Struthio camelus: one gene and its partners. The protein of the gene in region 2 purifies or fractionates together with the protein of the main gene of each other region. This does not show direct contact. Links are inferred from orthologs where the notes say so. Each region holds a gene or a part of one and is shown on either strand. Other genes may lie near its edges. The genes, in order: TIMM50, RAF1, EMD and CCT5.

What was found.
Region 1: the proteins of RAF1 (region 2) and TIMM50 purify together in Homo sapiens (affinity purification with mass spectrometry; 4 studies listed by BioGRID and IntAct, with this or other methods). This does not show direct contact. The link is inferred for Struthio camelus from reciprocal best matches to the Homo sapiens genes RAF1 and TIMM50.
Region 3: the proteins of RAF1 (region 2) and EMD purify together in Homo sapiens (affinity purification with mass spectrometry; 3 studies listed by BioGRID and IntAct, with this or other methods). This does not show direct contact. The link is inferred for Struthio camelus from reciprocal best matches to the Homo sapiens genes RAF1 and EMD.
Region 4: the proteins of RAF1 (region 2) and CCT5 purify together in Homo sapiens (affinity purification with mass spectrometry; 3 studies listed by BioGRID and IntAct, with this or other methods). This does not show direct contact. The link is inferred for Struthio camelus from reciprocal best matches to the Homo sapiens genes RAF1 and CCT5.

The regions. Positions count from the first base shown.
Region 1 is NC_090957.1:1,563,287-1,570,753, reverse strand, and holds the start of TIMM50 (mitochondrial import inner membrane translocase subunit TIM50), read left to right. Parts: upstream 1-4,457; 5' UTR 4,458-4,570; intron 4,571-4,644; 5' UTR 4,645-4,676; intron 4,677-5,092; 5' UTR 5,093-5,114; intron 5,115-5,644; 5' UTR 5,645-5,703; intron 5,704-5,953; coding exon 5,954-6,073; intron 6,074-6,160; coding exon 6,161-6,265; intron 6,266-6,351; coding exon 6,352-6,450; intron 6,451-6,527; coding exon 6,528-6,684; intron 6,685-6,782; coding exon 6,783-6,889; intron 6,890-7,467. UniProt on the Homo sapiens protein: Essential component of the TIM23 complex, a complex that mediates the translocation of transit peptide-containing proteins across the mitochondrial inner membrane. Has some phosphatase activity in vitro; however such activity may not be relevant in vivo.
Region 2 is NC_090955.1:19,911,343-19,919,020, reverse strand, and holds the start of RAF1 (RAF proto-oncogene serine/threonine-protein kinase), read right to left. Parts: upstream 3,001-7,678; 5' UTR 2,981-3,000; intron 1-2,980. UniProt on the Homo sapiens protein: Serine/threonine-protein kinase that acts as a regulatory link between the membrane-associated Ras GTPases and the MAPK/ERK cascade, and this critical regulatory link functions as a switch determining cell fate decisions including proliferation, differentiation, apoptosis, survival and oncogenic transformation.
Region 3 is NC_090979.1:105,484-113,380, reverse strand, and holds the start of EMD (emerin), read left to right. Parts: upstream 1-4,888; 5' UTR 4,889-4,961; intron 4,962-7,128; 5' UTR 7,129-7,131; coding exon 7,132-7,213; intron 7,214-7,362; coding exon 7,363-7,434; intron 7,435-7,862; coding exon 7,863-7,897. Other genes in the region: SYP (synaptophysin), read left to right, coding at 891-1,089, 1,604-1,795, 2,484-2,783. UniProt on the Homo sapiens protein: Stabilizes and promotes the formation of a nuclear actin cortical network. Stimulates actin polymerization in vitro by binding and stabilizing the pointed end of growing filaments. Inhibits beta-catenin activity by preventing its accumulation in the nucleus.
Region 4 is NC_090943.1:80,615,268-80,622,868, forward strand, and holds the start of CCT5 (T-complex protein 1 subunit epsilon), read left to right. Parts: upstream 1-4,591; 5' UTR 4,592-4,780; coding exon 4,781-4,885; intron 4,886-5,627; coding exon 5,628-5,688; intron 5,689-5,792; coding exon 5,793-5,957; intron 5,958-6,406; coding exon 6,407-6,605; intron 6,606-7,601. Other genes in the region: ATPSCKMT (ATP synthase subunit C lysine N-methyltransferase), read right to left, coding at 162-212, 1,415-1,552, 3,615-3,893. UniProt on the Homo sapiens protein: Component of the chaperonin-containing T-complex (TRiC), a molecular chaperone complex that assists the folding of actin, tubulin and other proteins upon ATP hydrolysis.

The DNA of each region.
Region 1 (7,467 bases), on a different chromosome or scaffold from region 2:
AAGTGGGCTCGCCGTGGGGCTGGGGGCTCCTGGGGCCCCCGTGAAGCGGGCTCGTGGTGGACCAGGGGGCTCCCGTGACCCCAGGGCCCCCGTTAAGCGGGCTTGTGGCAGAACGGGGGGCTCCCGAGGCCCCCGTTAAGTGGGCTCGCCATGGGGCGGGGGACTCCCGTGACCCCGGGGCCCCCGTTAAGCGGGCTCGTGGCGGACCGGGGGGCTCCCGTGACCCCGGGGCCCCCGTTAAGCGGGCTCGTGGCGGAACGGGGGGCTCCCGGGGCCCCCATTAAGCGGGCTCGCCATGGGGCGGGGGACTCCCGTGACCCCGGGAACCCTGTTAAGCGGGCTCGTGGCGGGGCGAGGGGGCTCCCGTGACCCTGGGACCCCCGTTAAGCAGGCTCGCGGCGGGGTGGGAGGCTCCCGTGACCCCGGGGCTCCCGTTAAGCGGGCTCACCGTGGGCCGGGGGGCTCCCGTGACCCCGGGACCCCCGTTAAGCGGGCTCGCGGCGGGGTGGGGGGCTCCCGTGACCCCGGGGCCCCCGTTAAGCGGGCTCGTGGCGGACCGGGGGGCTCCCGGGGCCCCCGTTAAGCGGGCTCGCCGTGGGCCGGGGGGCTCCCGCGGCCCCGGGGCCCCCGTTAAGCGGGCTCGCCCTGGGGCGGGGGGCTCCCGTGACCCCGGGGCCCCCGTTAAGCGGGCTCGCCGTGGGCCGGGGGGCTCCCGCGGCCCCGGGGCCCCCGTTAAGCGGGCTCGCCCTGGGGCGGGGGGCTCCCGTGACCCCGGGACCGCCGCGAAGTGGGCTCGCCGTGGGCCAGGGGGCTCCCGCGACCCCGGGGCCCTCCCCCGCCTGGTCTCCTCGGCCGGTTGCGGTAGCCCCGCCCCCTCCCGTGGCCCCGCCCCCGCCGGCCCACGCGCCGCGCACGTGTAGGCGCCCTCTCTCGCCCTTCCTCTGCTTCCGCCTCCGCCCGCTCCTCCCATTGGCTCGACGCGCCTCGGCACCGCCCCCTCCTCCGCCTCACCGAGTCGCCATTGGCCCCCTTTCGGGAGCGCGCCGATTGGCCCGCTCCCCCCTTCAAACCCCGCCCCACCCGCTTTCTCCCACCTCTCCCTCCCCGTCCGCCACCGCTCATTGGCCGGCCGCCCCGACGGGGGCGGGGCCGCCCGCCTTCCCCCCGCGGCGATTGGCCGCGGCGGCCGCGCCTGCGCCTTGGGTCTGGCGGTGCGGGAAGATGGCGGCGGCGGCGGCGGCGGGGCGGGCGCTGGCGGCCGGCGGGGTCCGCGCCGCCCTCGGGGGCTGCCGCGGCTGCCGGGCCCCCCCCCCCGCGCCGGCCCGCGCCTCCGGCACCGCCCCCGGCTCCGCCCCCGGCAGCGGCAGCGGCACCGAGGCGGTGCTGCAGGAGCGGCTGCGGCAGCACCAGGTGGGCGGGGCCGGGGGCGGGGCGAGCTTGGGCCTGGGGGGTGTTGGGGGGGGGTCTGAGGGGGTGAGGAGGGGGGAAAGAGGGGCCATGGGGCGTTTGGGGGTCTGGGGGGGTCAGGAGGGGTCGTGGGGGGTGTTTGGGGGGGTCTGAGGGGGTGAGGAGGGGGGAAAGAGGGGCCATGGGGCGTTTGGGGGTCTGGGGGGGTCAGGAGGGGGCGTGGGGGGGTCTGAGGGGGTGAGGAGGGGGGAAAGAGGGGCCATGGGGCGTTTGGGGGTCTGGGGGGGTCAAGAGGGGTCGTGGGGGGTGTTTGGGGGGGGTCTGAGGGGGTGAGGAGGAGGGAAAGAGGGGCCATGGGGTGTTTGGGGGTCTGGGGGGGGTCAGGAGGGGTCGTGGGGGGTGTTGGGGGGGTCTGAGGGGGTGAGGAGGGGGGAAAGAGGGGCCATGGGGTGTTTGGGGGTCTGGGGGGGTCAGGAGGGGTCGTGGGGGGGGTCTGAGGGGGTGAGGAGGGGGGAAAGAGGGGCCATGGGGCGTTTGGGGGTCTGGGGGGGTCAGGAGGGGTCGTGGGGGGTGTTTGGGGGGGTCTGAGGGGGTGAGGAGGGGGGAAAGAGGGGCCATGGGGTGTTTGGGGGTCTGGGGGGGTCAGGAGGGGTCGTGGGGGGTGTTTGGGGGGGTCTGAGGGGGTGAGGAGGGGGGAAAGAGGGGCCATGGGGCGTTTGGGGTTGGGGGGGTCAAGAGGGGTCGTGGGGGTGTTTGGGGGGGTGAGGAGGGGGGAAAGAGGGGCCATGTGGCGTTTGGGGGTCTGGGGGGGTCAAGAGGGGGGTCGTGGGGGGTGTTTGGGGGGGGGGTCTGAGGGGATGAGGAGGGGGGAAAGAGGGGCCATGGGGCGTTTGGGGGACTGGGGGGGTCAGGAGGGGGTGTGGGGGGTGTTTGGGGGGGTCTGAGGGGGTGTGGGGGGTGTTGGGGGGGTCTGAGGGGGTGAGGAGGGGGGAAAGAGGGGCCATGGGGCGTTTGGGGGTCTGGGGGGGTCAGGAGGGGTCGTGGGGGGTGTTTGGGGGGGGTCTGAGGGGGTGAGGAGGGGGGAAAGAGGGGCCATGGGGCGTTTGGGGTTGGGGGGGTCAAGAGGGGTCGTGGGGGTGTTTGGGGGGGTGAGGAGGGGGGAAAGAGGGGCCATGGGGCGTTTGGGGTTGGGGGGGTCAAGAGGGGTCGTGGGGGTGTTTGGGGGGGTGAGGAGGGGGGAAAGAGGGGCCATGGGGCGTTTGGGGGTCTGGGGGGGTCAAGAGGGGTGTCGTGGGGGGTGTTTGGGGGGGGGTCTGAGGGGGTGAGGAGGGGGGAAAGAGGGGCCATGGGGCGTTTGGGGGTCTGGGGGGGTCAGGAGGGGTCGTGGGGGGTGTTTGGGGGGGGTCTGAGGGGGTGAGGAGGGGGGAAAGAGGGGCCATGTGGCGTTTGGGGGTTGGGCGGGGTCAGGAGGGGGTCTGGGGGGTATTTGGGGGGTCAAGAGGAGGGAAAGAGAGGCCATGGGGCGTTTGGGGGTCTGGGGGGGTCAAGAGGGGGCCTAGGAGGTATTTGAGGGGGCTGGAGGGGTCGTGGGGGGGCAGAGGGGGTCAAGAGGGGGCCTAGGGGCATTTAGGGGGGCTGGGGGGTCCGAGGGGGGCTGGGGGGTATTTAGGGGGTCTGTAGGAGGCAGATGGGGTAAAGAGGGGCCTGGGGACATCTGAGGGGTCAAGGGGGGCCTGAGGGGTATTTAGGAGAGGGCTGAGGGGAGGCAGGTGGGGTAAAGGGGGGCCCTGGAGGTATTTAGGGGGCCTGGGGGTTATTGGGGGGGGGTCTCGGGGGGGAGGTCAAAGGGAGTCTGAGGGGAGGCCTAGGGGCATTTGGGGGGGTGGTAGGGTCAAGGAGGGGGCCTGAGGGCTGTCTTGGGGGAGCAGAGGAGGGTCAAGGGGGCCCTGGAGGCATCTGGGGGGGGTCAAGGGGGCCTGAGGGGTATCTGGGGGGGGACAGGAGCTAAAGGGGGGGCTTGGGGGCGCTTGGGGCATCTGGGGGGCAGGTAGGATCAAGAAGGAGCCTGGGGAGGGGGTAGGTAGGGTTTGGGGGGGGGGACAAAAACTTGTGCCTGGGGGACATGAGGGGCAGGTAGGGTCAAGGGGGGGCAGGTGGCTGGGGGGGGTGGCAGATTTGGGTTTGGGGGGGGGATAGTTTGGGGGATATGGGGACAAATTAGGGTCTGGAGGGAGCAGAGGCTTGGCCGGCAGATGGAGCCGTTGCCGGGGCTCCTTCAACGTCCCCAGGTGTCCCCACGGCTCCCGGGGTGTCCCCAGCCCTCGCTGGGGCTCGTGGGCCGCTCCCGGATGGCCGTGAGCGTCCCCAGATGTCCCCAGGGCTCGCCGGCTGTCCCCGGCTGTCCCCAAAGCTGTCCCCGGGGCTCCCTGGCTGTCCCCGGCCATCCCCAGGGCTCGCCGGCTGTCCCCGGCTGTCCCCAAAGCTCCCCGGCTGTCCCCGGGGCTCCTTGGGTGTCCCCAGAGCTCCTTGGCCAGCCTTGATGGTCCCTGGCTGTCCCCGGGGCTCTGGTGACGTCCCCGGGGCTCCCTGGCTGTCCCTGGCCATCCCCAGGGCTCGCCGGCTGTCCCCAAAGCTCCCCGGCTGTCCCCGGGGTTCCTTGGATGTCCCCAGAGCTCCTTGGCCAGCCTTGATGGTCCCTGGCTGTCCCCGGGGCTCCGGCGACGTCCCCAGGGGCTCGCTGGCTGTCCCCGGCCGTCCCCAGGGCTCGCCGGCTGTCCCCGGCTGTCCCCAAAGCTCCCTGGCTGTCCCCGGGGCTCCTTGGATGTCCCCAGAGCTCCTTGACCAGCCTTGATGGTCCCTGGCTGTCCCCGGGGCTCCGGTGACGTCCCCAGGGCTCGCCGGCTGTCCCCAAAGCTCCCCGGCTGTCCCCGGGGCCCCTTGGGTGTCCCCAGAGCTCCTTGGCCAGCCTTGATGGTCCCTGGCTGTCCCCGGGGCTCCGGCGACGTCCCCGACCCTCCCCGGCAGGCGGCGGCGGGGGGCACCCCGGGCCCCGACGAGGGGCAGGAGCGGAAGCGGGAGACGGCGGCCAACACGCGGCGGCTGCTGCTGCGCCTGGCCGGGCTGCTGGGCGCCGGCGCCGGCGCCACCGTCCTCTACGTCTTCGGTGAGTCCCCGGGCGGGCGCCGTCCCCGTCCCCGTCGCCGTCCCGCTCACTGCCCCGCTCTCCCCTCCCCGCAGGCAGCAACGCGGTGGACGAGCACGGCGCCAAGGTAATTACCCCCTTCTTCGTTAGCACCCGGCGGCTCCCCCCCCCCCCCACCACCACCGCTTTCTCCAGCGTCACCTTTCCCCCCCACCCCGGCGCTTCCGGACGGGGCGTTTCGGCCGGAAAAAGTCCCGTTTCGGAGGTGTCGGAGGGGTTTTGATATGCGGACCCCCCCCCCCCCCCCGGCGCGCCATCCCCGGCCGAGGTGCCAATTGCCCCCCGCCGCCGCCGGGACATCAAACGAGCCGCGGCGGAAACGAAGGCGCCAAATCGCCGCCGTGCCGGAGCCCCCCGCGGGCGCCCGAACGCCGCCAGGCCGCTGGGGTGGCGTGGGAAGAGGTTGGGGGGGGGGGGCGCTACCCTTTTATTCCCCCCCACCCTTTTTTTTTTTTTTTTATCTTCCCCCCCACCTCCCCGCAGATCCCCGACGAGTTCGACGCCGGTGAGTCCTCGCGCTCGCGTGAACCCCAGGAGGGCTCAGCGCGGGGCGGCCGGGCTTGAGCGGGAGAAAATTCGGGGTCCGGGTGCCGCCCGCGGCGTTCCCGACGCCGGGGGGGAGGGGGGGCCAAACGGAGCCTTTTCGGCCCCGTTTTAACGCTCGCGCTGCCCCCCCCCCCCCCCAAAGCGGCTTTTTTTGGTAACCGCTTTGGAGGTTCCCGGAGGGGAGCAACGCGCTGGGCGGGAGGGGAAAGGGAAGCGGGGGCAGAAGGAAATTCCCCGCCATGAAGGTGCGATTCCCCCCCGCTGGGGGGGTAAAACGGAGAAAAACGAGGTGTTTTAGGCCCCAAAAGGGTTGGTTTTTTATTTACAATGCAAACGCAGAGGGGAAGCTGGTGGGGGGGGGGTCTTGCATTAGGAGGAGGCTTGCAGGGGGGGTTAAACGCCACCATGGTGGTGGGAAGAGGGGGGGGGGTCTCGGGGACGACCCCCCTCCCCGCACCTCGGGGACCCGTCCTCACGGCCGCTTCGCAGACCCCGTGCTGATCCAGCAGATCCGCAGGACCTACAAGTACTTCAAGGACTACCGGCAGGTAGGGCACGGGGACGTCCCCGGCGCGGGGGCTCGTCCCCGTGCCGAGGGGTCTGTGTCCCCCCCACCCACGCCCCGGCGGGGTTCGTCCCCGCGACGGGGGTCTTTGTCCCCGCGACGGGGGTCTTTGTCCCCGCGACGGGTTGTCTTTGTCCCCGCCATAAGGGACCTTGCAACGAGGGGTTTGTCCCCACCGGGGCAGCTCCGTCCCCGCGGCCGGGGACGGTCCCCTCACCCCGCGCGTCCCGCAGATGATCATCGAGCCCACCAGCCCCAAGCTGCTGCCGGACCCGCTGCGCGAGCCCTACTACCAGCCGCCCTACACCCTCGTCATCGAGCTCACCGACGTGCTGCTGCACCCCGAGTGGTCGGTGAGTCCCCGCCGGTGGCCGTCCCCCTGCGCCCGGCCCGGCCCGGGGGACGCCCGGCCGGTCCCTTACCCCGCTCCTCGTCCCCAGCTCGTCACCGGTTGGCGCTTCAAGAAGCGTCCGGGCATCGAGAGCCTCTTCCAGCAGCTGGCCCCGCTCTACGAGATCGTCGTCTTCACCTCGGAGACCGGCATGGTGAGGGGGACGGCGGTGGCGGCGGCCCCGGGGTGGGGGGACACACAACGCGGCCGCCCCGCTGACCCCCTCCTCGCCTCCCCCAGACCGCCTTCCCCCTCATCGACAGCGTCGACCCGCACGGCTTCGTCTCCTACCGCCTCTTCCGCGACGCCACCCGCTACATGGACGGGCACCACGTGAAGGTAGCGGGCGCGCGGGGCCGGCGGCGGCGGGCCGACGCGCCGGCCCCGCGCCCACCCCTCTTCTTCCTCGCCGCCAGGACATCTCCTGCCTCAACAGAGACCCCGCCAAGGTGGTGGTGGTGGACTGCCGCAAGGAGGCCTTCTGCCTGCAGCCCTACAACGGGCTGGCGCTGGCCCGCTGGGACGGCAACTCCGAGGACCGCACCCTCTACGACCTCGCCGCCTTCCTCAAGAGTAAGACGGCGGGGTCGGGGGGCCGCGCGCGGGACCCCCCCGTCCGGAGCCCGGGGGCCACCCGCTCTCGCCCGCCTGACGCCCGCGCGTCCCCGCAGCCATCGCCCTCAGCGGCGTCGAGGACGTCCGCACCGTGCTGGAGAATTACTCCCTGGAGGACGACCCGCTGGCGGCCTTCAAGCGGCGTCAGTCGCAGCTGGAGCAGGTAGGGACGGGGTCGCCGGCGTCCCGCCGTCGACTGCGTCTCGGTGTCCCCCCGCTGCCGTTATCCCTGTCTCGGTGTCCCACCGCCAACCGCGTCTCGGTGTCTCCCCGCTGCCATTATCCCTGTCTCGGTGTCCCACCGCCACCGCTGACCGCGTCTCGGTGTCCCCCGCTGCCATTATCCCTGTCTCGGTGTCCCACCGCCGACCGAGTCTTGGTGTCTCCCCGCTGCCATTATCCCTGTCTCGGTGTCCCACCGCCGACTGCGTCTCGGTGTCCCCTGCTGCCGTTATCCCTGTCTCGGTGTCCCACCGCCGTCGCCGACCGCGTCTCGGTGTCCCCCGCTGCCGTTATCCCTGTCTCGGTGTCCCACTGCTGCCGTCAGCCGCGTCCCGGCGTCCCACCACCGTCATTACCTGCGTCCCAGCATCCCGTCACCGTTATCCACGTCCCGGTGTCCCGTCACTGTTAACTGCGTCCCAGTGTCCCACCACCGTCATTACCTGTGTCCCAGCATCCCGTCACCGTTATCCACGTCCCGGTGTCCCACCACCATTGTTACCTGCGTCCCAGCATCCC
Region 2 (7,678 bases):
AGCACAATCGATATGTTCCTGTCCCCCCACCCAGACAGAAGTCCTGCAAGGAGCACGGAGGACCCCATCAGACTGCACAATCCACACTATAGGAACATGTGAAAAACAGAGAAAAAAGAGAACATACAGACTTCAAAAATTAAGTACGTAGCAACAATACGAACTACAACAACATAGTCCAGACTAGCTAATATCTGAGGGAGCATTGACTTAATCATGGTATGCAGAGTAGGTAGCCAACAATATCAATCTAACATACTCTGAACGTCCAGAATACTCATCCCATTCTTTTTGCTTCAGATTTTGAAGAAGTATGGGATATCTGCCAATAAAACGAAATACAGTATAGTATAGGAGTTTAGAGGGAAAAAGTAGAGTAACCTAACATTCTGGAAAAAATCTTACTACTTTCTTCTTTCCATTTGGTTATACTTTTTTTTCTCCTGCAGCCTGATTAACGATAATCCGTTATAAGCTTATGGTTTGGATTCAGTTGAATTGAAGTTAGGAATATGACTTGATGGTACTATTAAAAACTTATAAGCTTGAACCAGATGACAAACAGTATGGGTTTCATTCTCAAAAACAAACATGTATTACTGCCTAAAAAAAGGACACTGGGCAAAGTGGCTCTGATGACTATTGTTTGGCATAGGTCTATGTTTGCTAAAAAATGCACTTCCAGTCATCTGGGTGTGGGGATTTTCATGGAACAATCTTGATTAGTTTGCTTTCCTAAGGAAAGGAAGCTTAGGTAATGGCTCGGTCGATCTCTTGCTCCAAATTTCAAACATATTTGACACATGAGCCAAAGTCTCAGAAATAATTAAATTCCTATAAGTTTCCTGGAAGTCAGCAATTGAAGACAGAAAAAGGAACCATATTCATACCCCTAGTGAAGCAAAAGACGACCAAACTCAGAAATCAGCCATTGTAAATACTGTTTTAAAATAGCACCCTGGCCAGTCACTATGCACCTAAAGCTGAATTAGACACAGCATGTGAGTATTTTTGCCGTATGGAGGTGACATCAGAATAAGAAACATAGTACAATCTGGATTTATTATAGACACTTTATGGAAGAGAGGATATAAATCTGTAGTGAAGCATCTTTAGTTTCGCTGCTCATAGAGCAACTCGATTTTCTTGAAATGTACCCTTAACATTCAAAACACAATAAGCGTAGTCTTCTTGTTCTTAAAGAAGCGTGGAACAATATTCAGCAAAATATACCGTAGCTGAGACACTGATTAATTCATATACTGAGCGGAGGCATACATGATATTTTGCTCTTTGGCTGTAGGACAGCACCTCATTTCACATAGCACTTAAAAACTGTAAGATTAGTTTGATTTACCCAGGTTACCAGAGAATGAGAACTTGAACCTAGTTACTGAAGTTGGCAGTATTTTGAATCAAATTTTGCTGAGAAATAAAAAGCAGAGCCAGAGATATAACTGTGCAGGAAACTTTGTCCAAAGTAGCATGAAATGCTGGTCCTTTTTTTCTTATAGCATGGTCTTATCTGTATCATTCCTTTTTCATTTGTTGCTCTCAGCCTGGATTCCTTAGATAACTTTGCTAGAGACTTGAGTTTTATTGTGGATATGGAATATTGCCTAAAAGTTTTGCTCCTTGATTGTTCTGGCCGCTTTCCAGCCACAGTATTGCAAATGCAACACATTCTACCTGCTCCGGCAATCATTCTTTAAAATAAGGCAAAGGATAAAGAGCGCCATACACAATGAACTCTGCTGCTACCTCAATTAATGATTTCAGAAACTAGCAAAAGTGAGTTGTGAACTGAATCTCAGAGTGGCTAGTCCTAACTCTGTTATACTGGTTATGTGGGCCTAAAATCTAGCAACAGGTAAAAGTGGCAGGGTTAGTGTAGATGTCACTAAACACTGCTCAAGACCGCGTATCTTTTTGAATTACTAATATTTCTATGACAGTCCAATAAACAAAGGTTTACAGTAGCTTACTCCAGTCTATGCAAGCCTTTAAACTGTTCTCCTTGCGACTTTGGCTAGCACCTGCTGCTGACAATAGTGAAAACGTTGAAGACACCTGGGTTATATTAGACAACTCTTTGAAATTAGGAATACAAAAACTTAGCTGAGCTCTGTGAAATATTTATGGTTACATACAACCAAAAGAAAAAATACAGAATAACAGGTGGAATTACATGAAGCATATAAAGTTAGTAAGCTAGATTTTAAAGCCTCTGAGAGCACAAGTAACTAAAACTATACATCCAACTGGTATAGATAACCATGCCTGCTTGACATTTTCAAGTATGAAATCCCAATTTCTTCTGCTTGTTAGTTTGCCAAAAGTTTATTTGATCTGTAAATTTCCATGCTGGGTCTCTGCCATAAGGTGATTTTGTGTGTATGTGTGTGTGTCTGCGCATGCATAAAATACCAACAAAGATAGTCAATTTTTTGAAAAGGAAAAAAGTACACTTGTATCTGTTAAGCATTTCCACACCATTTCTTTGAAACTGCAGCGTGCCCAGCCTTTCAAGCAAGTGATTCAAATTCGGCAAGTTGGTTGTCTTGGTTCAAGGATGTTTCTCTTGCCATCTACGTGGACTGATAAAATTCCCTTTGCTGGACATCCACCAGATTTATTCAGAAGCTGAATCACTTGTTAATTTACAAGCCCCAGCAAAGTGAAATTATTATTAGGATGTGCTTCTCCACATGGGCTGCAAGGAGCTAATACCACGTCTGTTGTCCTTTCTCATGGTGGGGGCTTTAGAGTTAAACATCTAAGCCCTGAGACTTGTAACATGTATGTCAAACGTCTCCAAGAGACGTTTGTGCATTGCCCAGCGCCTGCCCCATGATCACTGTTTGCCTTCTCAGAGGCATGAGGAAGGCACAACACAGTACCCAGACTTTGCCCGGGTCTTTTAACACGTTTGCTCTCTGCTTAGAAGGTGCATCAGAAAGAAGATAAAAAAAAATCCTACCTTTATTTCTATTGCTTGATTTCCTCAGCACAGTGAAACAGATCTGGGACTGTGCTAAGCGTCTTTCAGGTTTCCAGGACTCTTTTTTGCAGATCTTGAATTTTCTTCAGAACATTATCTTTCTCCCTCTCCTAAATGTCACTATATTTTGACATCATTTTCTCCTACAGTTAAACTGGATCCTTCTGGTACAAAAGCTTGTCTCCTCCTCTGTGCTACTCAGAGCTTCCTGTGTGCTTCAGTGAGCCTGTTTGGTTTCCTCACCGCTAATGGGAACTGCGTGTCTTAGAGCAAATTGGTCTCTGCCTCAGCTCCCTGTTTTGGAAAAGAGGAATTGGTATTTTATGTCCCATACCTTTTGTCTTGTCCTCTGTTTCAGCTATAAGAAAAGGTAGGATAGGGGTTCATACCATATGCATAATGCACTTTTACTGAGTTATGAGAGAAGAGACTTCACACGAACCTGGAAGCACAGCACAGACTGAGTGCGTTAAGAGAAGCTGTAATTCTGTGCGATCTGAAGAAAGCAACAGTCTGGCATAAACTCCAGACCTTCCTGTGCGCTGAACCTCCTGGCTGACATAAGCTTTGATAAAGGAGGATATTAATGCTTTTCTTGCCACTTTTGACCTGCTGCCAGAAATTGTCCAGCTGTGGACAGTCACCAAAATGCTTGGAAGTTTTCTTTCTATCAAAGGAAATGAATGGCTGTTATTTCCTTAAAATGAATTCCAGATAAATAGCTGAAATATATTAAACTGCAGACTATCTAGGAAAAAATTAAATACTTAAATCTTTAGTGGTTTTCTTCTAATGAGAAATGAAGCCTATTCACTCATCTTTATTAAACAGAAGCTTCAAAGGATTTGTTCTGGAGCTGAAACAACAGTTAGATGAGGTATTGCGGGAGCCCAGCAGGACTGACAGCAAGAAAGTGAACCTCTGCTGTGCGCATGCAGCGCCTGCCACAATGGGGTTCTCACCTTGGCTTAGCCTCCTGGCTATTTCATAACGGCTGTGAGTCCTCAAACAAACTTTGCCTGGAGTTACACTAAACCAGGCTCACCGACACAGTGCCTAGTACAGCGCAACAGAGCAACGTATTTAGTTCCTCTGTGCTCTCAGGATCGCTCATTGTACGGTGCACATGAGCAGCTATGAAACTGGAAAGCGGGTGTTCAGGACAGCTATAAAGGAATCTGCCATTTTCATGCATAAGTAATGGGTATTTTGCATGTTTATTATCACATGTTTTTGTTTCAAACACAAGCAAACTGAGCCGTTGTAAAAGAACTTCAAATGCCCAGTGGTTCTGTTAACTTTTCCTCTGCTGGAAATTAAAATAGATAGTTCCAAATTTGTTCTACAGAGGGAATAAAGGGAATGAAGAAATGTAAATTAGCAGTACAGTTTTTTAAATATTTGGGTTGAACCTTTTAAATTACTTTAAATTATTCAAAACATTTCATTTTAGCTATACTATTAAAAACCAACTAAATAATTTACGGAAAATGCTGCGTGTGAAATGCTTTCAGGGTCACATTTGGGACAGCAGAGGTTTAGAAAGAATCCCTACTGAAACACCCATGCAGTTTTAAATGTCCACTTAAAACTGTCCACTTAAAACTGTCCACTTCTAGGTTTCTTTAGAATTTACACAATGTGAGCTACTGTACTTAAGACAGATCAAGAACCAAGTCAAATCAAAATGTTGCATAATGTAAGAGCCCAAGGAAGTAAGGTCTGAACCTATTGCTTAACCCACTGCAACAGAGCCCGTTGCCGCAATGCATTAAGAAACTGGATTAAGAGCTAAGACTAGACATTGTAATATCTCAGCAACATGAAATGCTGTACACGGGGCTGAACTTTCAGTTTAGTATGAAGGATGGCTTCGCAGTTCTCATGAATGCTAATGAGTCTCATGACAAAATTGTGGCACACTTTGAAAAAGCAATCCAGAATACATACAATCCTAATCGTCATTTGGAAACTTCTGACCTATATGCAAACTTCCAAGGAGCTACCTCTGCCGATACACTATCACTGCAATTACTCCATGGGTAGCCATGGAGCTCTAGTATTGTGTATATATCATACACTGTTAGGCAAACACACATCTACTTTTAAACGTCAGTTTCACAGTCTTATCATGGTTTTAATTTCAAACCATCAAAAAGGAGGGAAAAAATCTTCTGCAATTAGATCTTGATTAAAACTGGAAAGTTTTTTTACAAACAGTTCAGTCTAAAATCCTAAAATGGAAGGGAACAGTGAGGCTGGTCAGGAAAGGAGAGTCACAGTAAACGTTGCACTTACAAATGCAACTTTATACTTAATAAAAGTTAATTCTTGTGCTGGTTTAATGTTTAAACAGGAAAAGACAATTTCAAAGATGATTCGATTTTTCCTCAACAGATAAGAAAATTCCCACCAAACTCTTCACATGAGATTCACAAAATGCCTCTCAGAAATAGCACTTGTCCCTTTCTATCTGATCTCAGGCTAAATATTTGAACCTTGTGAAGCAGGTCCAACAAGTATCTAATCCTGACCAAGCAGGCCAGACAACTCGCACAACCGTTAATCTTCCATATGTCACTGTACAACCAAAACTTCTGCAAAAGCTGTGAAAATGGCAGTCCCCCACCAATCCCCACTGAGACTCACCAGCGCCTGAAAAGTCTTCCTGCACCCAGCTAGCCCACTGGCACCGTCAGCAGCGTTTTTGGTCCAAATGAGCAATCCAGAGGCTGAGAGAGGACCTCAGCTGAGAGGATGTGTGCAAACAGAAACAAAGTGCACCTGGGGTTAATCGTCCTCAGCAAGAGCAAAGGCAATAAGCTGCTGCGAACCGTCAGTGTGACTCGCCTTTCCCAAAGGCTCCAATGCGTTCTTTGTGTTAGCTGAAATACCTGCACCCAAAGGCTCAACTGGAGCGTCACATGGGTGACAGAGCTAAAAAAGGCAAACCCACAGGCTTAATTTAGACCGCCCCCAATATGTTAGTGTTTTCCCCTGAGATAGTTTATGTGTCTCTTCCAAACTTTCCTACAATCTTCCTGAAATTTTAATATCCTGGTCTCTTTGGTTTTGCACTTTTTCACCTTTTTATTTTTAGAATCAGTATTTCATAGTGGTCTGTAGAGTCTGCTTGACGCCAGCAAATGTAATTGGATCCCAAGTCCCTGCAAGACAAGAATTGCAGCCACGATCAGCATGCTGCCGAGAGCACAAACCTTGGCAGCGGTCAAAACCAAATAGTCTGAATCCTCTATTAATCTTACAGCAGGGCTTGGGAAAAGAGGCAGGAAGAGTTCATCAAAACGCAAAGAAGAGTAGCTGAGAAAGGTTAGGGGTAAGTAAATAGAAATCAAAGATGCAAATAGGTCTGGGGTAGAGATCTGTGTGACCAGACTTCCAAAAGCAAGTACAGGGTTTTACAAAAAAACAGAGATAGTTCATTCTCTAGTAACCTAGTAACAGGACAAGCATGCACAAAATGGATTGCCTTTAAAAAGGGTTGTGTCAGCAAGGTTGACTTTAGTGGAATAAATAAGAATGGTGATCTGCTTGGCGGCAGATCACTGCTGACAATACTCTCACAAGTCAGAATTTCCAAATTATAATAGTTCATTTGATAAACACATAACTGCAAGTATCTATTCTTTCCAGGAAAAGTGTAGGCCCCTATCTTCTTCTCAACCTTTGGTGAGCAGGTTGGGTTTTTACCTGACTGTCTCTCCTACATGGTGTGCAATTGGACTACATTTGATCTCTGATACCAAAGAGCGGAATTACCTCGCTTGAACATATTTCTTCCTTTCTAAAACTTCTGACCCTTTCTTCCTGTAGCAGGGAAGAAAATAAAGGATTGCCAGTTCATCTGATTGAGAAAATATTCATCCTAACTATTCTGGACTCTCTAAATAAGGTAACTAGTGCCTACTACTGAGTGTGACCACTTCACATAAGAAAAAACTTAATATATCAAGGCAGTTATTTGCCAAAGGTGACAGGATGAGTCAGCGGCAGAGCCAGGATTAGAATACAGTGTTCAGACTGCCCATCCCATGTCTCGCTCACTGAACTACTGCTCCTCCGGCAGCCTCCAGGGAATAAAGTTCATTTAGTTAGGTGGTAAATGCTCAACTCCTGCCCTCGCACTTCACCTTGTTACTTATCTAAGTTTTGTCAGGCTTAATTGTTTGTTGCCAAGAAAGAGCACAGGCCAAGAGAAACAAAAAAAAAAAAAAAAGATCTTATTCATGAACAAAGGACACTGCAACAGCAAAACTCCAGTCTGAGAGAACGAGAACAATGGTCATTGCCAATACATTGACTATATCCTGTGTATATAACTGAAATTGCTTGAAAAGGACTTTTCTATAAGGCGGTTTCTCTGTCTCTTCAAAAGCAGCGAATGCAGCATGAAAGAACTGTGAAGCAGAGATCTTGAACAGAGCAACGAACATAATCTCTCAGTTTTCTCCATGGCATGAAAAAGGTGCTCTCTTTTTTGATGCCATTTGGCATATTTTAAACTGGTTTGTTTATGCAACATTAGCATTTTTTTTCCCTTCGCATAGACGGTATTCAGTATTCTCATTTTCTAAACTGATTAGGAAGTAGGAAAGGCATCTGGGAATCGTTCTGCCAGCAGCAGGTGATGCCGTATTGGGTGCCTGCAGAATCGCT
Region 3 (7,897 bases), on a different chromosome or scaffold from region 2:
GCGGGCCCCTGCGCCCCCTCGGGGGGCACTGCACCCCCCTACGAACCACCCGCAGGGATGCTGCGGGCCCTTACGTGCCATCTGGGAGGTGCTGCGGGCCCATACGTGCCATCTGGGAGGTACCACAGACCCACAGATGCCATCTGGAATGATGCTCCAGGTCCATATAGAGCGCTGGGGGGATGCTCCAGACCCATAGGCACCAACTGCGGTAGCTCCTAGTGCCCATATGGGGCACTGAGCAGATGCTGCAGACCTATATGTACCAACTGGGGACGCTACGGTCCCATATGGGGCAGTAGGGGGATGCTGCAGACCTATACGACCCAGCCTGGCATGCTATAGACCTGTATGTGTTCTCTGGGGTGATCCTGCAGGTCTGTATGCACCAGTCTGAGATGCTCTGGGTCCATAGGGACCATTTGGGGAGAAGCTCCAGGCCCATAGGGACCAGCCAGGGATGCTCCAGACCCACATGGACCATGTGCGGAAATGGACCATTTGGGGAGAAGCTCCAGACCCATAGGGACCATTTGGGGAGAAGCTCCAGGCCCATAGGGACCAGCCAGGGATGCTCCAGACCCATAGGGACCATTTGGGGAGAAGCTCCAGGCCCATAGGGACCAGCCAGGGATGCTCCAGACCCATAGGGACCATTTGGGGAGAAGCTCCAGGCCCATAGGGACCAGCCAGGGATGCTCCAGACCCATAGGGACCATTTGGGGAGAAGCTCCAGGCCCATAGGGACCATGTGGGGAGACGCTACGTGCAGTGGGGAGGATGCTGGTCCCCGTGTCCCGCCCCAGGCCGCGTGGCGGGTGCCCTGGGGGTGCCCTGGGGGCGGGGGGCCGGTGGCGGGGGCCGGCGCTAGCCCGCTGCGGGTGCCGCAGGCTGCACCAGGTGTACTTCGTGGCCCCCACGTGCCAGGGCGCGGGGCAGGAGAAGGTCTTCCTGGTGGGCGACTACTCATCGGCGGCCGAGTTCTTCGTCACCGTGGCCGTCTTCGCCTTCCTCTACGCCCTGGGCGCCCTCGGCGTCTACCTCTTCCTCGACAGCAAGTACCGGGAGAACAACAAAGGGCCCGTCATCGTGAGTGGGGGCACCGGGAGGGTGGGGGACGTGGGGGGGACACGGCATGGGGGGCTTGGGGCATGGGGGGACAAGACACGGGGGGCTTGGGGACATGGGCATGGGGGCCACAGGGATGGGGGGGCTTGGGGATATGGGACAAGACATGGGGGGCTTGGGGACGTGGACATGGGGGGACGACACTGGGGGGCTTGGGGACATGGAAGATGTGGGGCAGGACATGGGGATGGGGCATGGGAACATGGACAAGAGATGGGCACAGGGACATGGGGATGGGGGGCAGAAGGATATGGGGGACATGGGGCAGCTGGGCACGAGGATGTGGGGACAGGGCAAGGGGGAGTGAAGAGGACATGACATGGGGGACAGGACGTGGGGGCACGGGGACGTGGGGGCACGGGGACGTGGGGGTGGGGGGGACATGACACGGGGGAGGTGGGACAGGACGTGGGACGGGGGGAGGTGGGACACGGGGACACGGGGGGCCGGTGGTGAGGGGCGCCCCCGCCGGCAGGACCTGGTGGCCACGGGGGTGCTGGCCTTCCTGTGGCTGGTGAGCTCCTGCGCCTGGGCCAAGGCGCTGGCCGACGTCAAGGAGGCGACGGCGCCCGCCGGCGTCCTGGCCGAGCTGCCGGGCTGCCAGCGCCCCGGCGCCCGCTGCCGCGGCCTGCGCGCCCCGCTCACCTCCGGCCTCAACACCTCCGTGGTGAGCCCCTATAGCCCCCTATAGCGCCCCTCGAGCCCCCCTACGGACCCCTCTCGTCCCCTATGGCCCTGTTGGGCTGCCAGCGTCCTGCTCCCCTCTGGACTCAACACCTCCGTGGTGAGCCCCTATAGCCCCCTATAGCGCCCCTCAAGCCCCCTACGGACCCCTATAACCCCCCCATGGGCCCCTACGGACCCCTATAGCCCCCTATGGCCCTGCTGGGTTGCCAGTGCCCCGCTCACCTCTGGCTCACCTCCGTGTTGAGCCCCTACGGACCCCTATGGTGCCCCTATAGCCCACTATGGTGCCACCGGGCTCCCCTGGGACCTATAGCCCCCCCCCCAAGCCCCCCACAGTGCTCCCGGGGGACCTATAGCACCCCTATGGTCCCTCATGGTGGTCCCCTGGGATCCTTGCAGCCTCCCCCCCACACACTGTAGCACCCTTGGGACCTATGGCCCCCACAGTGCTCCCCCAGGGTCTATAACACCCTTGGAGCCCCCCCATAGAGCTCCCCCCAGGACCTATAGCACCCCTATAGGCCCCCATAGCAGTGCTCCAGGACCTATAGCACCCCTAGAGCTCCTGCAGAGCCCCAGGACCTATAGCAGCCCCGCAGCCCCCCCCACCCCCTCCAGCCCCCCCGGTGCCCCATAGGCGGCCCCCTATAGCGCGGCCCCCCCCGCAGGTGTTCGGCTTCCTCAACCTGGTGCTGTGGACGGGCAACATCTGGTTCGTGTTCAAGGAGACGGGCTGGGGGGGCCCCTGGGGCCGCGGCCCCCCCGCGGGGGCCCCCGAGAAGCAGGCGGCCCCCGAGGGCTACGGCCCCGGCGGGGGGGGCTACGGGCAGCCCGAGGGCGGCTACGGGCAGCCCGGCGGCTACCAGCCCGACTACGGCCAGGGGGGCTACGGCCCGCCGGGGGGGTACGGCCAGCCCGAGGGGGGCTACGGCCAGGGCGCCCCCACCTCCTTCGCCAACCAGATGTAGGGTGAGTGGGGCTGCGGGGGGGGGCGCTGGGGTGCCCCACGTAGGGCTCTGGGGGGCAGTCGGGGGTGCCTGGGGGGGCTGGGGTGCCCCCATGGGGGTTTAGGGGGCAGTGGGGGGAGCTGGGGTGCTCCACGTAGGGGTCTGGGTGCCCCCATGGGGGTTTAGAGGGCATTGGGGGGGGCTGGGGTGCCCCACATAGGGGTCTGGGTGCCCCCATGGGGGTTTAGAGGGCATTGGGGGGGGCTGGGGTGCCCCACATAGGGGTCTGGGTGCCCCCATGGGGGTTTAGGGGGCATTGGGGGGAGCTGGGGTGCCCTACATAGGGGTCTGGGTGCCCCCATGGGGGTTTAGGGGGCATTGGGGGGAGGTGGGGTGCCCTACATAGGGGTCTGGGTGCCCCCATGGGGGTTTAGGGGGCAGTGGGGGGGGCAGGGGTGCCCCACGTAGGGGTCTGGGTGCCCCCATGGGGGTTTAGGGGGCGGGGGGGGCAGGGGTGCCCCACATAGGGCTCTGGGGGGCAGTCGGGGGTGCCTGGGGGGGCTGGGGTGCCCCCATGGGGGTTTAGGGGGCAGTGGGGGGGGCTGGGGTGCCCCACATAGGGGTCGGGGGTGCCCCCATGGGGGTTTAGGGGGCAGTGGGGGGGGCTGGGGTGCCCCACGTAGGGGTCTGGGTGCCCCCATGGGGGTTTAGGGGGCAGTGGGGGGAGCTGGGGTGCCCCACATAGGGCTCTGGGGGGCAGTCGGGGGTGCCTGGGGGGGCTGGGGTGCCCCCATGGGGGTTTAGGGGGCATTGGGGGGGGCTGGGGTGCACCACATAGGGGTCTGGGTGCCCCCATGGGGGTTTAGGGGGCAGTGGGGGGGGCTGGGGTGCCCCACGTAGGGCTCTGGGGGGCAGTCGGGGGTGCCTGGGGGGGCTGGGGTGCCCCCATGGGGGTTTAGGGGGCATTGGGGGGGGCTGGGGTGCACCACATAGGGGTCTGGGTGCCCCCATGGGGGTTTAGGGGACAGTGGGGGGGGCTGGGGTGCCCCACATAGGGGTCTTGGGGACAGTGGGGGGGGCTGGGGTGCCCCACATAGGGGTCGGGGGTGCCCCATGGGGGTTGGGGTGCCATGGGGGGCAGCCTTGGGGGGCTGGGGTGGCGTCGTGGGTCTGGGGTGCCCCACGGGGGTCGGGGTGCCGCCGTGGGTCGGGGTGCCACTGACGGCCTCTCTCCCGCAGGTCCCCCCCCGCAGCAGGGGGCGCCGAGCCCAGGAGCTGCCCTGGGGGGCAGGGGGCGGGGCCTATGGGGGCGGGGTGGCCCCGCCCCCTCTGTCTGCACCTATGGTGTCTGTGGGGCCTGCCCCATAGCCTGCCCCACAGCCCCGCGGCCTGCCCCATAGCCCTGTCCTTAGCCCCACGGCCTGCCCCATAGCCCTGCCCCATAGCCCTACAGCCTGCCCCCTTGCCCTGTGCCATAGCCTCGTGGCCGGCCCCACAACCCTGCCCCACGGCCTGCCCTGTGGCCTGCCCCGTAGCCGTGCCCCACGGCCTGCCCCACGGCCCCGTGGCCTGCCGCGCAGCCCTGCCCCACGGCCGTGCCGCCCCCCCTGCCCCCCAGCCCGGTGTCTGTCTTGTGCCGTGATCGTGACGTCTGGGGCCCCGGCGCCCCCCGGCCCGCCGTGGGGCAGGGTGGGGGGGGTGGGGGGGGGCGCGACCCGCCGGCCCCACGGAGGGAATAAACGAGGAGAAACGAGCCCGGCCCGCGTCCTCCTTGGGGGGGGTCTGCCCCACACGTGTGGGGCTGGGCTGGGGGGGGGGGCCGGGGCCCCCGCCCGGCAGGAGCCCAGGCGTCCGGGAGCCTCCCGTCCTCCTCACCCCGAATGGGCCCAGGCGTCCGGGCCCTGCCCTATATATGTGGGGGAGAGGGGGCTGCCCCATAGCGCCGGGTGGGCCCGGAGGGGCGTGGCCCCGCTGAGAGCACGCCCCTTGGTGGGCTTGGCCACGCCCCCGATAGGTTTGGCCCCGCCCCCGGCGTCCTGTCCGCGGCCTGGCGGGCTGACCCCGCCCCCCGCTCGAGCTGACCCCGCCCCCCGCTCGAGCTGACCCCGCCCCCGCTCGAGCTGGCCCCGCCCCCCGCGCGCTGGCCCCGCCCCCCTGAGTCACTTCCCTTCGCGCGCGCGGCCTGGACGCAGGAGCGAGGTACCGGGACCCCCGAGCGGCGCCGGGCCCGGCCCTCGGGGGGCCCCACGGCCCTGCCCCATAGCCCCGGGGGGCCCCGTCCCCCCACGGCCCTGCCCCATAGCCCCGGGGGCCCTGTCCCCCCACGGCCCTGCCCCATAGCCCCGGGGAGCCCCACGGCCCTGCCCCATAGCCCCGGGGGCCCCTGTCCCCCCACGGCCCTGCCCCATAGCCCCAGGGAGCCCCACGGCCCTGCCCCATAGCCCCGGGGGCCCTGTCCCCCCACGGCCCTGCCCCATAGCCCCGGGGAGCCCCACGGCCCTGCCCCATAGCCCCGGGGGGCCCTGTCCCCCCACGGCCCTGCCCCATAGCCCGGGGGGCCCCACGGCCCTGCCCCATAGCCCCGGGGGCCCCTGTCCCCCCACTGCCCTGCCCCATAGCCCCGGGGAGCCCCACGGCCCTGCCCCATAGCCCCGGGGGCCCCTGTCCCCCCACGGCCCTGCCCCATAGCCCCGGGGAGCCCCACGGCCCTGCCCCATAGCTCCGGGGGCCCCTGTCCCCCCACGGCCCTGCCCCATAGCCCCGGGGAGCCCCACGGCCCTGCCCCATAGCCCCGGGGGCCCCTGTCCCCCCACGGCCCTGCCCCATAGCCCCGGGGAGCCCCACGGCCCTGTCCCATAGCCCCGGGGGCCCCTGTCCCCCCACGGCCCTGCCCCATAGCCCCGGGGAGCCCCACGGCCCTGCCCCGTAGCCCCGGGGGCCCCTGTCCCCCCACGGCCCTGCCCCATAGCCCCGGGGAGCCCCACGGCCCTGCCCCATAGCCCCGGGGGCCCCTGTCCCCCCACTGCCCTGCCCCATAGCCCCGGGGGGGCCCATGTCTCCCCATGTCCCCTCATGTCCCTGCCCCATAGCCCCGGGTGGCCCCGTGGCCCTGTCCCATAGCTCCAGGGTGGCCCCATGTCCCCTCATGTCCCTGCCCCATAGCCCCGAGGGGGGCCTGTGTCCCCTCATGTCCCTGCCCCATAGCTGCAGCATGGCCCCCTCTCCCCCCACGTCCCCCACATCCCTGCCCCATAGCCCCGGGGGGGCCCCTGTCCCTGTCCCCTTCCCTGTCCCGCCAGCCGCCCCCCGTCCCCGTCCCGCAGCCTGCTCCGCGCCCGTCCCCCCGCGTGTCCCCGTGTCCCCCCACATCCCCCCCGCGTGTCCCCCCATCCCCGTGTCCCCCCACGTCCCCCCGGTGTCCCCACATCTCCATGTCCCCCCACGTCCCCCTGCGCGTCCCCACATCCCCGTGTCCCCCCATCCCCGTGTCCCCCTCGTGGGTCACCTCGTGTGTCCCTACGTCCCCATGTCCTTACATACCTGTGTCCCCCCGCATGTCCCCTCCGCGTGTCCCCACATCCATGTGTCCCCCGCCCCCGTGTCCCCCCACGTGTCCCCCCATGTGTCCCCACATCCCCGTGTCCCCCCGCGTCCCCCCGTCCCCGTGTCCCCCCGCGTCCCCACATCCCCGTGTCCCCCCGCGTGTCCCCCCGCGTGTCCCCCACGTCCCCGTGTCCCCCCGCGTGTCCCCACATCCCCGTGTCCCCCCGCATGTCCCCCACGTCCCCGTGTCCCCCCGCGTGTCCCCACATCCCCTTATCCCCCCGCGTGTCCCCCCGTCCCCGTGTCCCCCCGCGTGTCCCCCCACGTCCCCGTGTCCCCCCGCGTGTCCCCACATCCCCGTATCCCCCCGTGTGTCCCCCCGCGTCCCCGTGTCCCCCCGCGTGTCCCCCCGTGTGTCCCCCACGTCCCCGTGTCCCCCCGCGTGTCCCCACGTCCCCGTGTCCCCCCGCGTCCCCCGTCCCCGTGTCCCCCCGTGTCCCCACATCCCCTTATCCCCCCGCGTGTCCCCACATCCCCGTGTCCCCCCACGTGTCCCCCACGTCCCCGTGTCCCCCCACGTGTCCCCCCGTCCCCGTGTCCCCCCGCGTGTCCCCCGCGTCCCCGTGTCCCCCCGCGTGTCCCCCCGCGTGTCCCCCCACGTCCCCGTGTCCCCCCGCGTGTCCCCACATCCCCGTATCCCCCCGTGTGTCCCCCCGCGTCCCCGTGTCCCCCTGCGTGTCCCCCCGTGTGTCCCCCACGTCCCCGTGTCCCCCCGTGTGTCCCCCACGTCCCCGTGTCCCCCCACGTCCCCGTGTCCCCCCAGGCCATGCAGAGCTACCGGGGCCTCACGGACAAGGAGCTGCTGGAGAAGCTCAAGAGCTGCCGCATCCCGCACGGCCCCGTCGTGGGTGCGGGCCGGGGCGCGGGGGGCGCGGGGTGGGGGGGCCGGGCGTCCGGGGGGGGGGCCGGGGGGCTCCTGCGATGGGGCTCCTGGCCGTGGGGGGTGCCGTGGGGCAGGGGGTCCCAGGGGTCCTGACCCCCCGCCCCGGCCCCCCAGGCTCCACGCGGAAGCTGTACGAGAAGAAGGTCTACGAGTACGAGACGCAGCGGAGCCGCGTGGGGGGCGGCGGTGAGTGGGGGGGTCCTGGGGGGCTGGGGCAACCGGGGGGGGGCGTGGGGCACCCTGGGGGGCTCCGGGAGCCCAGGGGGGCAGTGGGGTCCTGGGGCGCTGGGGGACCGCAGGGGGGTAACTGGGGTCTTGGGGGGTCCCAGGGGGCTGGGGGGGCCACGGAGAGGTGGGGAGGGACCCCAGGGAGCTGTGGGGGGGCCATGGGGGGGCTCCGGGACCCCAGGGAGGCAGTGGGGTCCCAGGGGGGCAACTGGGGTCTTGGGGGGGCCACAGGGAGCCAGAGGATCCTGGGGGGACTGTGCAGGTCCCTGGGGGGTGTTGGGGGGCAGGGGGTCCTGAGGGGCCCCTGGGGGGCCAAAGGGACCCCGGGGGGGCAATGGGGCTCCCGGGGGGACACCACTCCCCCCAGTGACGCTGTGTCCCCCCAGACCCCGGCTCCTCGGAGACCTTCATGCAGGAGTCG
Region 4 (7,601 bases), on a different chromosome or scaffold from region 2:
TTCATCATGAACATTAGTAGGCAACAATGGAATATATCAAAATATTAGCAACTACCTTTGACATTCTGTAGGTTGATTCATTTTTTTTAAAATTAGTCTACTAACACTGAATGCCTTGATATTAAAGCAGTTAGATAATGGAAAAAAAAAGTAAAACTCACCATTTGAGGTACCCCAAAGACAACAACATTCGTGTAATGAGAAAAAGAAACCTATAAAAAAAAAGTGAGTGTAAGTCTTTTAAGACAATTGGCATATATAATAACTGGAAGATTTGGTACCATTCTTTCCCAAAGGCTTTTAGCTACATTCCTTTCAAACTAATCCTTGGGCTTAAGACCAAAAACAAGAAAGGAGATCCCATATCATGTCAGCATCACAAATTCCCCTATGCAAGACACCTTACATTGCTGAGTAGCAGAAAGCTTTTACTAGCTGGTCAAAAATCTGGCATGAATTCCAGTAGCGCACATGCAAAAAAATCAATTCAGACACACACTCCCCAATTCAGAAGATACCTACATGGTTTTACTTATGGCTAAGTTTCTTTTACAACCCTCACATACGTTAAAATGAGGAATGTTTTAGGATTACTCCCCTTTTGTTAAGGGCCGGCTAGACTTCAAACTTCCTAGATGTTCCAATGGCTAGGTTATCCCTAGTTCTGTCAGAAGTTTTCCATGCTTGTCTCTGAACAAAGATTAGAAACAGTATATTCACACTCTGCCTGCCAAGTTTCTCGTATCCACTTTCTTGTATCCACGTTGCCCATTACAATGTGTCAGTGTTTTAAAAAACAAAACAAAACAAAAAAAAAACCCTTCAATAGAACTAGCAGGGCAGAGCCAGGCATAAATACAACAGAAAAATAGTCTCATCAAAGCAGCAGTTTGATTGAAATGAGTGAACACGTATGTCAAAAAAATGTTACATGTATGCAATAGTGATCTTAAAGCAATTCTCAAAAATTAAGAGTTGCACAGTTACAAAAGAACACACATTTAATGAAACGTCAAATGAGACCATGATCTTGCACATTAGCACGAGGTGAATAAAAGAGTCTTCTTACTGACTTCAAAGAATCAGCTTTCAGTGAAGCTAGATACTAAAGTGACCCACATCATTCACCAAACAGAAAGGCACGAAGTAGTATGCGCAAGACGCCTTTGCCATACTGAGAGCAGTCTCTAAGGACAGCACGTGTCACTGAAGCACAAAACCAACAAAGCTGCTTATTGTGCTGTGAGCCTACTTTCTGCGGATGTTAAGTACTTTACTCAAGGCCCAAGGAAGCAAGTATCTGGTGGCTGAACGCATTCTAGTGGTTTTAGGGAATTATCTCCGAATTAGAGAAAACTCCATACTCTCCTCACAAATCCCAATTTCATTTATTCTTACGCGTTTCACCACCTACCTTCCATAAGTCTGAAATATAAAATTTGGTGTTCCGATGTACCCCATCTCTCCAGGCACGGTATCTGGAGTACCAGACTAACCAGGGATTTAATTCATAACCAACAGCTTTGAATCCCCTTTTTGCAGCAGCTATTACCTACAAAAAAAAATAAAGAAAACCTTCATTCTAGAAGGGAAGGAATGCTAAAAGATGTATTAGTCTCAATAGGATAAAGAAGATAATTTTATTTACAATAGAAATCAACAAAATGCACTTTGCAAGACACACAGATTTGCATTCCAGACACACTGGTAGTACAAAATCATGAACAAAAGCTCATACAAACTGCATTTTACTACTCTGACTAGTCATATTGAAATTAATAGATTTATTCAAAGGAACAAAACAAACCACTTAAATCTGCACAGGACTAAGCTGTAAACTTGCAGTATGTCTGTAATTTATACAAAAGTTAAATTTAACATACTCATGACATTACCTTGCAGATGATCATTGAGACAATCAAAGCACACAAGCAGAAACGCCTAGACATTCAAAATGAAAGGACCTGGCTTATTTCAAACACATTACCAGGTAGGCATTTGAGATACCTCTGATTCAGAGGCAAAATGACCTACTAATAGATAGAGTATGAAAATAAACAGTTGACCTACCTAAAAACAAATATATCACAATAGAGCTTTCTTCTAATGCTACACTTCATATATACTTTTAAATAGCAACAGGTAATTCAGATAATACAAGTTGATTTTCAAATGCACCCATTTAAATTAAGATCCTGGTATTTAGAATTGTTAACCTGTACAGCAACTGCCTCCCAGCTACAGATTAATATCCGATTATTTTTCAGAACTTTTTCAATGAAAACACAAAACAAAAAGGCACAAGTTAGTAGAAACATTAAAATCTAGCTTTAAGTCATTTGAAAGGTTACTGTCAAGTATCATTCAGGAAAAGTATGACTAATTACGAATTACAGAATAGGTAAGGTAGAGTCAAGGAGGAAGTAAATATTTCTTAATAAAATTTGCAGACAGTATCTATGGCACAGTGTGTTTCACATTAATTATTAGGAAAAGGGCTTTTTCCATCATGCACTCAGCCTTTGTAAACATGCTAGAAAAATCCAACATTTTGACCATGTTTGTAAATAAAGATATGTTTGCATTTACTTACAGATTATACCTGAAAAAGCACTAAACATTCAAAAGTATCAGAACACAAAACTCAACTTAATTTGAGGACAAACACTCAAGGGCAACACGAAGCATCACTGCATGCAATTTTAAGCACCTGGCTCTCAAGAGTAGCGTTCAGTCTGCATTTAGTCACCCATATATAAAATCAGTACCTAGTCAAAACCAGGTGGGTCAGGTACTTGAGCTCAATCACAGAACAGCTTGCTTTACTTGGAAGAAAGCCTTAATATTTCTGCATAAAAACTGACATTGAGAAACAGCTGCTGTAATACTGAAAATATATGAGCCCAGCAAAACTGTCTCTGCTATATCATTTTCACATGGAAGCATCCTTCAGCTAAGTTCTGTACTGAAAGTCTGATCACGCCCAGTACAGAAGCCTTTCCATACCTCCAGTAATTCTCATTCCTCTTTAAAATGATTCTCATTTTACTATACCCATTTTAAAATGAGGCAGCCTGCACTGCACAAAGCACATAAGGTATGAAAACTACAGTTTTAAGGATAGAGTTATTTTTCTTTTCTAACCCATTGTTTGTTTCTCACTCTCTCATGCTTTTATCACCTTTATGCAACAAGCACAGAGCAGCAGCTCCAAAAGTTGCCAGGCATGATGTCTCCCTGCACTGTTTCAAGCTCTGTTTAAACCTGCAGCCTTACATACTGCGGCTACAAAAACACACGGAACCACAGCTCTTAAGGAGCTAGTACTTTGAGCACACCTTTCTAGGTGAATGCACACTGTACAGTCCCCTCCAACCAAGAGGATGAGGTTAGGGTTTTGCACGATACCTTGTCAAGCTGAAGGCAAGCCTGGGACAAAAACATTCACTGCTTACGCTAATCAGATATAAACTTGTCTTGGCTTTGCGCATTTACATAATATTAAATGCCAGAGACAAGACATTCATAAATACGAGAAGACACACTACACTATAGAAACCCTTTGCCCCTCTTTTGGGGGATTATATAGAAGGAAGCTGATCTCCATAACTTACAACACGGCCATCCCCACTCCCAATGTCAACCAGGGGGCCGCTTCTGTTCCCTAACATTTTCAGCACGTTGTCAATCTGAGTTGAAGTTGCGGGAACAAAAGGCAGGCAAACTCTTCTCAGCGCTGGCATGACAAACGGGGTGACAACGGCATACAAGGCCACCAAGGTCCCGCCGACGCCACCAGTAACCAGCAGCCCCCAGCTCCTCCTTCTGGAGCTGCCCTCAGAGCCCACGGGCAGGCCTGGCGGGGGGCCCTCCTGCCGCAGCGCTTCCGGCATCGCACCTGAGGACAGACATTACCGAAGAGTATTTCCTCACGCAAATCGCTTTATTATACGTTTGTTTAACAGACAAGGCAGCAGCAGGTCTTATATCCCGTTAACTGATTCTTAGGCCTTACGGAGAAGTTAGGATGCTGCTTTTGAGGAGATAAACTACTAGATTATTTAATAATAATAATTAGGGGGGGAGGGAAGAAGGGCAGTTATTATTGGTGGTTCCCGCCCGGGGCAGGAGCCGTGAAGGGAGCGGCGGCTCCCACCCGACGCCGCCGACCCGCCCGCTCTTCGGCTCGAGCGAACCTTCTCGAAACGCGGCCGGGCCGGGCCGGGCCGGGCCGGGCCGGGCGCGACTCTCCCGCCCGCAGGAGGAGCCCGGCAGCACCCCCGCCGCCCGCTCGGGCGCCACGGCGCAGGCGCGGCCGCCGAACCCACCTTCTCCCCCCTCCCCGCCGCTAACGGAAAACCTCACGCCAGACCGGCTGCAGGCTTTGACCCGGAAATACTTATACTGGAGGACGATACCACTTAAATCAATTGGGGGGGGGAAGCTTTTTGATTGCGCATCGTAAGGAGAGGTTTGGCGCTGCAGAGGTAGGGTACACCGCCAGGGCGCTTCCTCCCCGTATTCTACCGAATGGTATCTCCCAGCTGCCCGGGGCCGCGCCGCCAGCGCCGCACGGCCCCCACCCGCCTCAGGCGCTTCCAGAAAGGTCCGCCGCCGGCGCCAGATAGGTTGCGCTTGTGAAAGGTGTCGCGGCGGTGTCGGCTGCGCAGGCGCGGGGCGAGGGGGCGGGCGGGCGGGCGGGCGTGCTGCGTCAGCGCGGCCTGGGCGCGGCGGCGGCGGTGCGGTTCGGCTCGTGCTGGCTGGGCGGGCAGGAGCCATCATGTCGGCTATGGGGACCTTGGCGTTTGATGAGTATGGGCGGCCTTTCCTCATCCTCAAGGACCAGGAGCGCAAGACGCGCCTCATGGGGCTCGAGGCGCTCAAGGTGGGTGTGCGAGCGGGCGCTCCTCCGTCCGTGAGCCTTGGTGGGGAGGGCCGTGCCGCCGTTATGGCCGTGCGGCAGTGGAGGGGAGCCGTTAGGCCTCGTGGCGGGGGATGGAGCCTGCTGAGGCGTGGCGCCTCTGCCTGTGCACCCCGCTCCCCTCCCTGGCGCCGGGACCGCAGTCTAGCCCGGGCCCGGCCGCGTGGGAGGGAGGGAGGGAGAAGGCATCGGCCCTGGGGCCGGGAATCCGCAGTCCTCCACGGGCCGGGAGGCTCCTCGTGGGGCGCCGTTCTTCTGAAGGCTAGGGCCGGTGTTGCTCCGAAGAAAGGCCACGGCTAAACCCGGCCCGCAGGCAGCGGGTCAGGCCATGCCGGCCTCAGAAGCACTGTGTGCGGGTGTGCGGTAAAATAATGACAGAGAAGTACAGCAAAACTACTCTTACCTCTTCCCCCCCCCCCCCCCCGTGATATTTGCATCTGTTACTGCTGCTTTAAACGCGCCAAGAAATCGTTCTAGCTGCTCCTCTACTATTGCAAGCTTTAACTGTGTAAGTGAAGAAACGGCATGGGAGATGTTTCTGGCATAAAGGCAGTGTGCATGTTTCAATTTGTTCTTACTTAAAATTGGCTGCTTCTAGTTGAATTGTAATACCTAATTTTCAGTTAGCTCTTTTTCTGTATTAGCTTAATGCTGCGATTCTGGGAGTGTTAATAATGATGTAACTTACTGCTTCTTTGTTTTGTAGTCTCACATAATGGCAGCAAAAGCTGTGGCAAATACTCTGAGAACATCTCTTGGGCCCAATGGTAATGATGAAATAATTTTAAAAATTCTTTTAGTAATTTTTTAAGTTGTTGGGGTTTGTTTGTTTGTTTTTTGGCTTTTCCCTCATGCTGTGAATTTTTTTTAGGTTTAGATAAAATGATGGTAGACAAGGATGGTGAGGTGACTGTGACAAATGATGGTGCTACTATTCTAAACATGATGGATGTGGATCACCAGATAGCTAAACTTATGGTAGAGCTCTCTAAATCTCAAGATGATGAGATTGGGGATGGAACTACGGGAGTTGTTGGTAAGAAAACATTTTAAACTTAGCGTAACTTTTCCAGTTTTAAAATCAAGTTTCTTGAACTAATTTCAGAGATGGTGATGTTTGATTGTAAATATACCATTTCTGTAAGGTATTTTTAAATATTTAAAAGGTTCCTAATACAGGAATTAACAACAATACTGAAGTGTTAATCAGAAAGATGTTTTGTGTGTTTTTAACGTGTGGGTGCATTTGAAGTTAGTGTTGAAAGTCCTCCCTCTACTTTCAGAGGTTTTTCTTGCATGACTTTCTTCTTGTCCCACCTTGATCCTTGTGCTTCTTCTTAGACTAAAATAATACAGTCTTCTTTCTACAAAGATTGAAAGAGAACAGAAACAAAATCTGAAGGTGTAATTTTTTTCTTTTAATATGTTAAAAATGATGTCTCAATCTGTGGAAGTGTAAACCTTATTTTAAATTTTGTTTTATAGTTCTGGCTGGAGCATTGTTGGAACAGGCAGAGCAGCTACTAGATCGTGGTATTCACCCTATCAGAATTGCAGATGGTTATGAACAGGCAGCTCGCATTGCTATTGAACATCTAGACAAAATCAGTGACAGCTTTCCCGTTGATCCACAGAATACTGAGCCTCTGATCCAGACAGCAAAGACAACTCTAGGCTCTAAAGTGTAAGTTCATGAAAAGTTCACAACAAGAGTTGCCTTTTTCCTTAAAAACACTTTGAATTGAAAGGAGAAATCCTGATTTTTACTTGATATTTTGATGGATTGTGATATTATTTATGTTATTGGAGTGGCTCTTAAATGCTCTTTCATATTTACTTGACTTTTTTTGGCCAATTTCTCAATGGACTCTTTATCTTTTTTTTTCTTAATTGGTTATGTCTGTTGACTCTCACTACTAAAAACTACATGCTCAGAGTTTTTTAAAAGACAGTATAGCTGAAAGAAGTGCAAATTATTTTTTTTTCTTCAAGTAGATACAAATTCAGATTGCAGATGTAAAACTCTGGTTTCCATTTCCATTGTAGCATTTTTCACTGTAGAGTTAGCCAGCTTCCCAGTGGCTCAGTCCATCTCACCTTGGGTGACATAGAGTAACTTCAGAATTATGCTTCCATAAGAGCATGTTTTTAGTTGGCTGATCCTGTAGTAGTGATTTAATCTTCTTTTGCTCAGTATGTATAGTCCCTTGTAAGTATTAAGACTGTTACAAACATCTTGTATCAGAGACTTTGTAAGAGTACTTTCAAGACAAATTCTAGCACACTTGCTGCACGATAAAGAAGCATTAATCTCATTTCCTGGTTAGTGTTTTTGGGGAGGAGGGGGTTGTTTTTTGTCTGTTACTCTTTGGACATTAGGCAACTTTCTTGGATGCTACTGTGGAGCTTGGATGTAAGGAAGCAAGAAGATGAGATGGCATAAAGCAGCACAGTAGAAAAACGGAAGTCTCCCATTTTTAGTTGCTATGGAACACAAGTTTTCGCCAATTGCAGTTTCTGTTGCGTAGCATCTCATGATAGACACTCAAATATGTAGGGAGGTAGCATGAGAATGCCATTTTCTATCTCTTCTCTATTTCCCATCCTGTTCTCCTTGCTCTTTCTCAACCCATTGTGTGGTTTTGATCGTATCACCTGTACAGAAATTATGGAAAGTTGT